3 linked regions of the Xenopus tropicalis genome follow. The protein of the gene in region 1 interacts with the protein of each later gene in a pairwise test. Links are inferred from orthologs where the notes say so. Each region holds a gene or a part of one and is shown in the gene's direction. Other genes may lie near its edges. The genes, in order: pias4, smad7 and satb1.

The links.
Region 2: the proteins of pias4 (region 1) and smad7 interact in a two-hybrid assay, tested with the Homo sapiens proteins (2 studies listed by BioGRID and IntAct). The link is inferred for Xenopus tropicalis from reciprocal best matches to the Homo sapiens genes PIAS4 and SMAD7.
Region 3: the proteins of pias4 (region 1) and satb1 interact in a two-hybrid assay, tested with the Homo sapiens proteins (2 studies listed by BioGRID and IntAct). The link is inferred for Xenopus tropicalis from reciprocal best matches to the Homo sapiens genes PIAS4 and SATB1.

The regions. Positions count from the first base shown.
Region 1 is NC_030677.2:93,068,767-93,072,424, reverse strand, and holds part of pias4 (E3 SUMO-protein ligase PIAS4), read left to right. Parts: intron 1-2,330; coding exon 2,331-2,781; intron 2,782-3,658.
Region 2 is NC_030677.2:205,572,836-205,576,493, reverse strand, and holds part of smad7 (mothers against decapentaplegic homolog 7), read left to right. Parts: intron 1-2,474; coding exon 2,475-3,016; 3' UTR 3,017-3,658. UniProt on the Homo sapiens protein: Antagonist of signaling by TGF-beta (transforming growth factor) type 1 receptor superfamily members; has been shown to inhibit TGF-beta (Transforming growth factor) and activin signaling by associating with their receptors thus preventing SMAD2 access.
Region 3 is NC_030682.2:45,021,868-45,025,117, reverse strand, and holds part of satb1 (DNA-binding protein SATB1), read left to right. Parts: intron 1-2,458; coding exon 2,459-2,662; intron 2,663-3,250. UniProt on the Homo sapiens protein: Crucial silencing factor contributing to the initiation of X inactivation mediated by Xist RNA that occurs during embryogenesis and in lymphoma.

The DNA.
Region 1 (3,658 bases):
AGATATAAACTGCCTTTTGTGTATTCTAGCATTGTACCATATCTTAGGTATCGCTGAACTAGTTTTGCATAAATTATTTGAAATAAATGGTGGAACATGTGTAAAATTTTGTTTAATTTGGCAGATTCCTTCCTTCCCCTAATGGAGGCAGTATACCAGCTTTGCCATCAAGTCAGTTACTTTTATTGGCTATAGTGAGTCATTAACTACCTCCTGCAGTAGGCATTAGAGTGAAGTTTTTTGGCTGCATCCCTGATTGTTTCTGGTGGTGGTCTTTAAGGGCGCAGACATGCAGCGATTAGTCGCCGCAACTTTTTAAAAACATGGTCACAGCGACTGCTTGTTGTAGAGTATTATTGCAGCCACTGCGACTAATTGCTTGACTTATTAAAAAGTCGTGGTGACTAATTGCTCTGTGTGTCTTAGCCCTAAGATTTTCTCTCTATTGGGCTGAAGGCGCAGAGTCACTCTTATCTAAAATGCCAGCAGTACAATTACTGGTCTTTTTCATTCTAAAAATGCTGTGTGTAGTATTAGTTGCCTGAGAAGCACCAAGCACTGTTAATATTTGTTGTTTCTGTGACACTAAATTCCAAAATGTATCTAAGCTGACTTGATATAGAATCATATCTATTTTAGCACTGTACAGATTATAAATATATCAATAAAAGTATCTTCTTGGAATGCGCTGATCAAATGTAACTGTTTCTTATAACTAGAAACTTGCTTTTTGTGCTCCATGAAGGGGACCATAGCCACCTACAAGTAGGCAGTGTGGCTCTAGCTTGGTTTTGTGTTTTTAACTTATGAAAAGGGGTGGCTGTACCATATGCTTTTGATTTTATGTGGAAAAAATTATGGTTTTTCTTGAGCTAAACAGTCAGATCGAAGCTACTTGTTTGGTCCTTGAAAAGTATATAATTAGATGAATGCCTGCTAACAAACAACGGAGGGTGAACAACACGGAGGGTGAAAACAGACAAGGCGATTAGTTTGCGTTTCTTTTAAAACCTGCAGTTGCTATGTCTAAAAATACAGTCATGGTGACAATATTTCCTTTAAAATATACACAAGTTGGTGCATCCGTAATTCACTAACAGTACAAGTCGCAGTGGCGATTAGTTGCCGCAACTGGATTTTTATTATCTAGGTCAGTGCTGTCCAACTGGCGGCCCGCGACCCCCCTCTGTGTGGCCCCCCACCTGCCTGGCTGCTTTGATGGCTTACTCTTATGTAAGCTTTAAATGGTATCAGTACTGTGATTAACTGCCCCCCCCCCCTGTATGGCTCACACCTCAGATTCAGGCTGTAATCCCTCTGTATTGTTTAAAAATGTAATCCACTGTGTTGTTCACACCTTTTAATACCTGCAGTGTTCACACCTCAGGCTCAGGCTGTAATCACCCACATTGTTTACCTGTTCACACCTCAGACAACAGTAGAAACCCACAAATAAACCCTGCACACTAGAAAAAGAACTGAGGTGGTACTGCAATTAAAAAGTTTTTTTGTTTTTTTTTAATATATAGTTATTGTGCAGACTGTAGGAGCAGTGCCAACATTGTGTCACTGTATGCTGCCTGTGTGTGCCATACAGGGCAGAGAGAGTATGGCACACACATGCAGGGTAGGGAAGGCAGAGTATGGCACACACAGGCAGGGTAGGGAAGGCAGAGTATGGCACACACAGGCAGGGTAGGGAAGGCAGAGTATGGCACACGCAGGCAGGGTAGGGAAGGCAGAGTATGGCACACACAGGCAGGGTAGGGAAGGCAGAGTATGGCGCAGGCAGGGTAGGGCAGGCAGAGTATGGCACACACAGGCAGGGTAGGGAAGGCAGAGTATGGCAGACACAGGCAGGGTAGGGAAGGCAGAGTATGGCACACACAGGCAGGGTAGGGAAGGCAGAGTATGGCAGGTATTTGCTGTACTACAACCATTAATATGGGTATGGTCATGTGATAACATAGGTGTGGTTTCAAGTGGGTGCGGTTTCAAAAAGGGGAGTGGTCAAAACTGGCTTCCATTATCGGCCCTCTACCACGTAGGTCGGAAAAATTCCGGCCCTCGGTACCACAGAAGTTGGACAGCACTGATCTAGGTGACTAAATCTCCCTGCCTGTATTTGTACTAAAAGGAGGCGGGTTATACTGGTAATCTAATTATTTACCTCCCAAGTATCAGAGTAGCTGCATTTTCCCTGTTTGCCATGCTTTGCTTTGTTTTGCGTACTGCCCATTTAATTTACCACCAAAATTATGTTATCGGTGATTATTTGGTATAACGCTTTTAGTGTGGGTACCAATTTGAAATTGCTTTCTCTTTTTCAGAACATGGTAATGAGTTTTCGAGTGTCAGATTTGCAAATGCTCCTGGGATTTGTTGGGCGCAGTAAAAGTGGCTTGAAACATGAACTGGTCACACGGGCTCTACAGCTGGTACAGTTTGATTGCAGCCCAGAGGTTTTCAAGAAAATTAAAGAGCTTTATGAAACTCGCTACGCAAAGAAAGGCACAGAGGCAATCTCCCAAGCTCCACCCCAGCCTATCACATCACATCGTGCACCTGAGTCTTTGTCTATTCACCCATCCTATGACCACGGAGTCTCTGGACCCAGGACTTCTCTTTCTACACCTAATATAGACTACCCATCTTTGTATGGGAAACATGTTAATGGGCTCTCAAGGTTGCCTCCAAAAGTTATTACCAAGCCTGAGGTGCGATTGGTCAAGTTGCCTTTCTATGATGTGGTGGATGAACTCTTAAAGCCAACTGAGCTGGGTAAGTGATACATATTTTTGTATTAGTTAAACCTTTAAAGTAACTATCTTAAATGAGACTTCTATATACAAGCTGACTACCATAGTAAAAAAAAAAAAAAACACCAATGTATTATACCTTATGTATTATATATTATTCTGCACTTGACTAGGAGTGGAATTTGATAGTGGGGTCAACAAACTATTGATTCATAGGTTTTTGTTTCTTGATCTAAAAACGTAAACTGAAGCTACTTCCTTGCGAGTTATTCAATTACCAGTGCACAGAAACAGAAGTCCATTATGCTGGGGTATCATCAGCCTCTCAAAGGATATCTGGGGTATAAAAGGATATGCTGGGGTATCATTAGCCTCTCAAAGAAGGAGTAGCTTCAAAGCCATACATTTATTGCTGATATATAAAAACTGTATTTCAAAGAAAAAAAAAATAAACATGGCTTGATTGGATAAAAATGTTCACTTTTGGGAAAAAATATGCCTTAATTGACTGGTTACAATCAATTATAGCAGTCATAAAGATGCAGTTCAATTATTTCTTTAGGGGAACTCCAGCTTCTGAACCAAAATTTGTTACCCAAACACGAGGCAGAAACCCCTAATATATCTCACTGTAATCTGTTCCTTCAAAAAGTATGAATAAATGAATGTTATACAGGCCTGTAAGAGTTAATAAAGCAGGCCAAGGTATCCAAAAAATCTCCCTGCATGTACCAGTAACAGATATTTAACAGGCCTCTGTTCTCTAGGGTCTGGAACCATCCATGTGTAAAGGTCTCACAACCTGCGATGCCCTGGCCGAAGAGAGCCATGCCATGTGGGGGGAGTGAAAGCCCACATAAGGGTGACTTAAAGTTCAATACCATTTCAGTATGCTGAAA
Region 2 (3,658 bases), about 110 Mb from region 1:
TCCTACTGTATGAGCAGCACATATACAGAACATTCCTTCTCTGTGTACTGGCATTTAACCCTACGAGTAGGGGCTGCCATATTGTTTTGCACTGTTAGTAGTTTCGGTCTTATTTTTTTTTTTTTTTTTAAATATATATATTTGGTGGTACATCTCTGGGCATGAAGGGGTTAGCAGAGAGGCAGCACATAGCCTGCAATTTATCTGAGGCAGGCAATTACCATAATCTGAAAACTTCTCCTTACTGACGTCTGTCTGAAAATTGCTGGGTGTACAGGCGGGCCCTGGAGATGAAAGGCAAAAATGCAGGCTTAAGGATTTTCTTTCACGCAATAGGGTGCCTACAGCCTCGCTTTTATAGACATTTCCTGACCTTTTTTTTTTTTTTTACTTTTTTTTTTTGCATTTCGCTCAGAATGCATTTATTTTGTTTGCAGCCGATTGTGCTTTCCAAGAAATGCCATCTTTCCCCTTCCAGCCTGGCATGTACGGGCATTACCAGGGCTGGCGTGCCTTAGTGTGCGGTTCCAGTACAGGCATGATGGGAATTTAGATTTTTGGTTATGAAGCGCCTATAGGTTTTTGTTAATAATCACTTTATTAATGGCTTTTTTTGGGGGGGGGGTTGAAGCACACCCCCCCCTTTACTTATAAATTCCTTTCTCCATAGAAGTACTGTAGTTTCAAAAGGTTAGGTTAAAGGTAACCTGATCCGATTGCACCAACAAAAACCCTCCCTAAACACTCTCCTCCACCGCTCCCTCCTTTGCACCCCTCCCCACAAATTTTTTTTTTCTTTCCCTCTTTCACCGCTCGCTGCGTTTTAGTGCCAGGTTTCAGTGGGATAAAGATATTTGAAACAAAGTATTGTGAGGCACCGAGAAGGGGGCTGTGCGAGGCGACCAGGCACACCTAAGCGCCTCTGAATTCCTTCTGCTTAGGAATATTTGCACCCCCCCCCCCGCCCATTACTGTTCTGCTACCCCTCAAAAACAAATCAAACAACAAAAAAACTAATCAAGGCAGATTAACTTGCTTTAAATCTCCCCAAAATTTCAGATATTGCGATGTAGGTGGGCATTCCATAAAGGCCTGGGTGCACTAAGGAAGGACAAAATGCAAGAGTAACACCGTGTATACAGAAGCAAGATGGTGGCAGCAACTGTTGCTATTGCTGCTGCAGACCTATAGGCCCCTTGGCAGTATTTTTGATAGTGGGGCGCTGCAGTGCTTGTTTTGCCCCCGGGCCCTACTAAAATACTAAAGGCCTCCCTGCACTGAGCCGATTTCTCTCTCTCGCCGCTGGGAGGAAACTTGCAGGGAAAAGCTGAGTGCACTTTTGCTAACAAATACAAGACTTCCGGTCTCCACCCTGCACACCGCAAACCACAGACTTAATAGGCTCGGTTAAATCTATAATTCATCTGACGTCTGAGTTATACCTTTTTATTACCGAGGCTCCAGCAAGAAGCGTTAAAGGCTCTGTGTAAACCATACAGCAGATAATATGCTGCCTTTCATTCGGCCCCCTCTAAAAAAAGCTGGAGGCCCAAATAGCAGCATGTATTAGGCTGGCAATTAAAATTAAAAAAAGGAACCAGGGTTGTATGGCTCAGCAGCTATTAATGTGCGCCGGGCAGATATCTCTGAGTTTTAACACATTTTCTGTGGCAAAACATGTTGAAGCTTATTGTGTGCCCAGAACATTCCTTCTCTGTATATTTGTATTTATACATATGGGTAGGGTGCCATAGTGTTTCTCTTAGACAGTACAGTATGGGGGTACAGCTTATTGTGTGCCCAGAACATTCCTTCTCTGTATATTTGTATTTATACATATGGGTAGGGGGTGCCATAGTGTTTCCCTTAGACAGTACAGTATGGGGGGTACAGCTTATTGTGTGCCCAGAACATTCCTTCTCTGTATATTTGTATTTATACATATGGGTAGGAGGTGCCATATTGTTTCCCTTAGACAGTACAGTATGGGGGTACAGCTTATTGTGTGCCCAGAACATTCCTTCTCTGTATATTTGTATTTATACATATGGGTAGGAGGTGCCATAGTGTTTCTCTTAGACAGTACAGTATGGGGGTACAGCTTATTGTGTGCCCAGAACATTCCTTCTCTGTATATTTGTATTTATACATATGGGTAGGGGGTGCCATAGTGTTTCCCTTAGACAGTACAGTATGGGGGGTACAGCTTATTGTGTGCCCAGAACATTCCTTCTCTGTATATTTGTATTTATACATATGGGTAGGAGGTGCCATATTGTTTCCCTTAGACAGTACAGTATGGGGGTACAGCTTATTGTGTGCCCAGAACATTCCTTCTCTGTATATTTGTATTTATACTTGTGGGAGCCCAGTATAATAACCCAGCTGCCATCTGTATACACGGAATATTTACTATAATGATACAGTGATTTTTGTTGTATCCTGATTTTAATCCTTTCCCCTTTTTTTGTCAGCAGATTCCCAACTTCTTCACGAGACTGGGGACCCGTCCCACTGGTGCGTGGTGGCGTATTGGGAAGAGAAAACGAGGGTGGGTCGCTTATACTCTGTCCAAGAGCCCTCCCTGGATATCTTCTATGATCTACCTCAAGGGAACGGCTTCTGCCTTGGGCAGTTGAACTCGGACAATAAAAGTCAGTTGGTGCAGAAGGTCCGCAGCAAAATCGGATACGGGATCCAGCTGACCAAGGAGGTCGACGGCGTGTGGGTCTATAACCGCAGCAGTTACCCCATCTTCATCAAGTCTGCCACACTGGACAACCCGGACTCTAGGACGTTATTGGTCCACAAAGTGTTCCCTGGATTTTCCATCAAAGCGTTTGACTACGAGAAGGCTTACAGTTTGCAGAGACCCAATGACCACGAGTTCATGCAGCAACCATGGACCGGATTTACTGTACAGATAAGCTTTGTCAAAGGCTGGGGCCAATGTTACACGAGACAGTTCATCAGCAGTTGCCCGTGCTGGCTGGAGGTGATATTCAATAACCGGTGACTCGGAGACGAGCGGACATCTGGACTCTCAACTACTTTGCTGCTAATATTTCCTCCTGAGTGCTTGCTTCTTCATGCGGACTCGCTCTTTCTTTGTTTTTACGTCATTTTTTTTTTTTGTTGTTGTCGTCGTTCGTTTTGAGAAATAGCTTATGTCAAGAATGACCTTTTCCCTGTTCTATTCTTTACCCGAGTGAATGACTTCCGGCCAAGCTTGCCCCCGGGTAGGGGATGGGTGTTTGGGCAACGCGTGGAGTGTGCTTGTAATGTTTTTTTTGGGGGGGGGGGGAAATCGACCGCTTTCTTGTGCAATGAGTAGACAATATTTTTGTGGGGGAGGGGGCCGAGTGATGCAGAATTAAGTTCAGTATTTTGTCATTTTATTTTTGCATATGGGTGACCACTGCTTACACCTCACGTCTCTTCGTTTCTGCCCGGCACGCTTTATGGGGTATGAAGTGGGCGACTTTAGAGCAACATCTAAGGTGCTTTTATTGGTTAGTTGCAGGGATAAATGGATGCTGATGTTGTTGCTTAGCAACAGCAGTGACAGTGATAATAATAAAGGCACCTTAGGCTGCTCCGCTACTGTTCCTGCTATCCTATAGCCAAACAAGCACTGCAGACTCTTCAGACCAATGTC
Region 3 (3,250 bases), on another chromosome or scaffold:
TTTGCATTCTTTATACAGGTATGGGATCTGTTATCCAGAAAGCTCTGAAATATGGGAAGGCCCTCTCCTATAGACTTAATTTTAATCAAAAAATTGAAGAACAATTTCTTTGTCATAATAAAACAATACCTTGTACTTAATCCAAACTAAGATATAATTGGGATCCTATTGGGTTAATTTAACTTTTAAATAATTTTTTTTTAGTAGGCTTATGGTAAGGAGGTCTAAATTACAGAAAGATCCCTTATCCAGAAACCCCGAGGTCCTGACCATTCTGGATAACCAGAACCTGCGTGACAGGGCCAGCATTTGATATAATGCGTGTTTCCCAGTTACACAATTATTTTATGTATGATGGGAAATGTTTGTATACTATTGTTTATACTGTATTCTTTAGTATATATATATATATATATATATATTTTATTTATTTTTTTTAAACATTCAAGCCTTTTATTTTCACAGGCCAAACCTGAATTTTTATTCCGCATTTGTGGGCATTTGTGATTTTTATCTTTGAGTATCTTTTGCCTTCTATATATTAAATAAGAGAATTGAATTGTTAAGCATTTCCTTGCTTACTGTTGCAAGACATTTGCAGATGGCACTTGTTTCTAACGCAGTGCATAATAATAATTCTTGTGTGGCAGATGGATTTAAGACCTTTATTTCTCAATAAATTTCCCTTTACAATACATAACTTTACAGGATTTGTGTTGTATACAGCAGGTTTGAACACAGCCCAGCATTCATCTGCATGGCATTTTCAGTTTCTATGCATCTCATTCCACCAATTAAACTAAAGGGAGGGCAAGGTTACTGGCATGGACTAAAGGCAGAATTTTGAATAGCAACAGCATTTAGAACAGAAGGTGTCAAATAAAACTCTGACAGTTCAAAATCAGCAACATCCTGAAGTTCAAATAATTTACTTGGCTTTCGTGCCTTCTTATAGCAATTTTTGTTGTCTAAAAATAATGTAGACATTGCACCTTCACCATCTGCCATTTGTTACACGTATCAACAAGTATCAAAGTACATTGTTTCATTTGGACTGTCACCTTTTCATCTTTTAAATGGAGGATTAGCTGAATTCTCTAGATTTTTCCTAATACGCCCATTAAAAAATTAGTCTTAAAATTGGTTCTCTGACAGAGCAGACTCTATATTTGTTTCTATCATTGAAATAAGGGAAATCTGGCAGTTCTCAAACCGCTTGGCCAAATCCAAGTGATTGACATGCAGTTACTTGGCATTAATGTTAAAAAGACTCTCAAGTCAACAGTGTGTATGATAGATACAGTATGTACACAGTAGTAAACATTGCTGCCATGCAGTGTTGAGATGCTGGGTCAGATTGGGGTACCCAGTGCCCACCACTTGGGCACCGCCACCCCCTGTCTGCCCCACTCCAACTCCACTACTTGCTTACTTGGCTGCCAATCAGGGGAAAAATGGAAAGATGGTCAGGTATGGCCATTTCTAATGTTCATGAATCTTAACATATACATGTCAGGGCCGAAGAGGATTGGGCCACCAGGATTTTTCCTGGTCCCAGTGGGCCAGCCCGGCTCTGATGCTGAGCTTGAACCAGTAAGCTATCTATAAAGGGTTTGTATGCTTTGTAATGTTTATGTGGGACCTTCTATGATTACAAAATACACAGGACAACTACTGGGGGGGCTGGGAAGGGGTGCATTCGAATAATAAAATGTTCTCTGTAAAGTACAGGAATGGGACCCATTATTCAGAATGCTCAGGACCTGGGGTTTTCTGGATAATAGATCTTTGCGTAATTTGGATCGCCTACTTTGTTTACTAAAACAATTATTTTAACAGTAATTTGACCCAATGGCTCCAATAAGGATTAATTATATCTTAGTTGGGATTAAGTACAAGGGACTGTTTTATTATTACAGAGAAAAAGGAAACCATTTTTAAAAATGTGAATTATTTGATTAAAATGGAGTCTATGAGAGATGGCCTTTCTGTAATTTGGAACTTTCTGGATAATGGGTTTCTGGATAAGGGAACCGATACCTGTATATACCATTCATGGAGAAGAAATGAGAACGCCAGTGTGTGTGTGTGTTGAGAAACATAGAGTTAGATATATTTTAGCCGGTGTGAGACTTATAGTTGTTAAAATGCTGATACACTAAAAATATGTAACTTTGTTATGTGCTAGCTGAGGATGTTCTTTCAACAAAGGTTGGACCTCCAAGGGGGCTTGAACAGAAAACTCCTGCTGGGGAACTATATGGAGGGTAACCCAATCCGATGTAACATATATTTTCCTTTAATGTCTGTTACTATATAGAATGCTGTTTATGTAAAATTCAAATGCGTAGATGGTTCAAATATCTGGGTCACTGCTGAACAGCAGTACTGATAAATATATGTTGGCATATGATTACCAGTCATAGTAACATTCCTTTTTTATTTTTTTTATTTTTAGGGCTGGCTGTGTGAACTATTACGATGGAAAGAAGACCCTTCACCGGAAAACAGGACTCTGTGGGAGAACCTTTCAATGATTCGAAGGTTCCTAAGTCTTCCCCAAACAGAAAGAGATGTGATTTATGAGCAAGAGAGCAATGCGGTTCATCAGCACAGTGAAAGGCCATCTCATGTGATCCATGTTTCTGCAGAACAGATTCAGGTAGGTAAAACAGAAGTTTGAAATGGTTATGTTCTTATATTACATGGTTTTATTCTTAAACATTATTTGAACTTCCAGATATAAATTATAAGATATAATAAATATAAATGTATTTTATTTTTACAGACATACCCAATTCCACAGATTATAGGAAACCATAAAAGCTTGTGTCTGTGTGTTTTCCAGTTTCTCACCCCTCTCTGACTGTAATGCAAACCTCACCCTTATCTTGCTGAATTCTGGGGCCTAAAGTCGCTCTGCTTTCTAGAGAGTCTGTGCACCACCCACTATGGTAAGCAGAGAGACTTCCAGTCCCAGAATCTATCAGTTTACAATGGAACAAAGTGAGTGCATTACAATGTCAGTATTAAGGGATCTTGGGAAACAGCTCTATGGAGTTATCACTGTGTCCTTTAATCTGTGGAATCAGCTATGTTTCTGTAAATCAAAAATACATTTATATTTATATGTTTAAGTTTAGATTGAGCACTTTTTATACAGCCCAACTAAATGAGTTTAGTTATGCTAAGCTAATTCATATTTGTTACAGTACAGTATCCCATGTTATGAGTGCAGCTTCTATTCTGA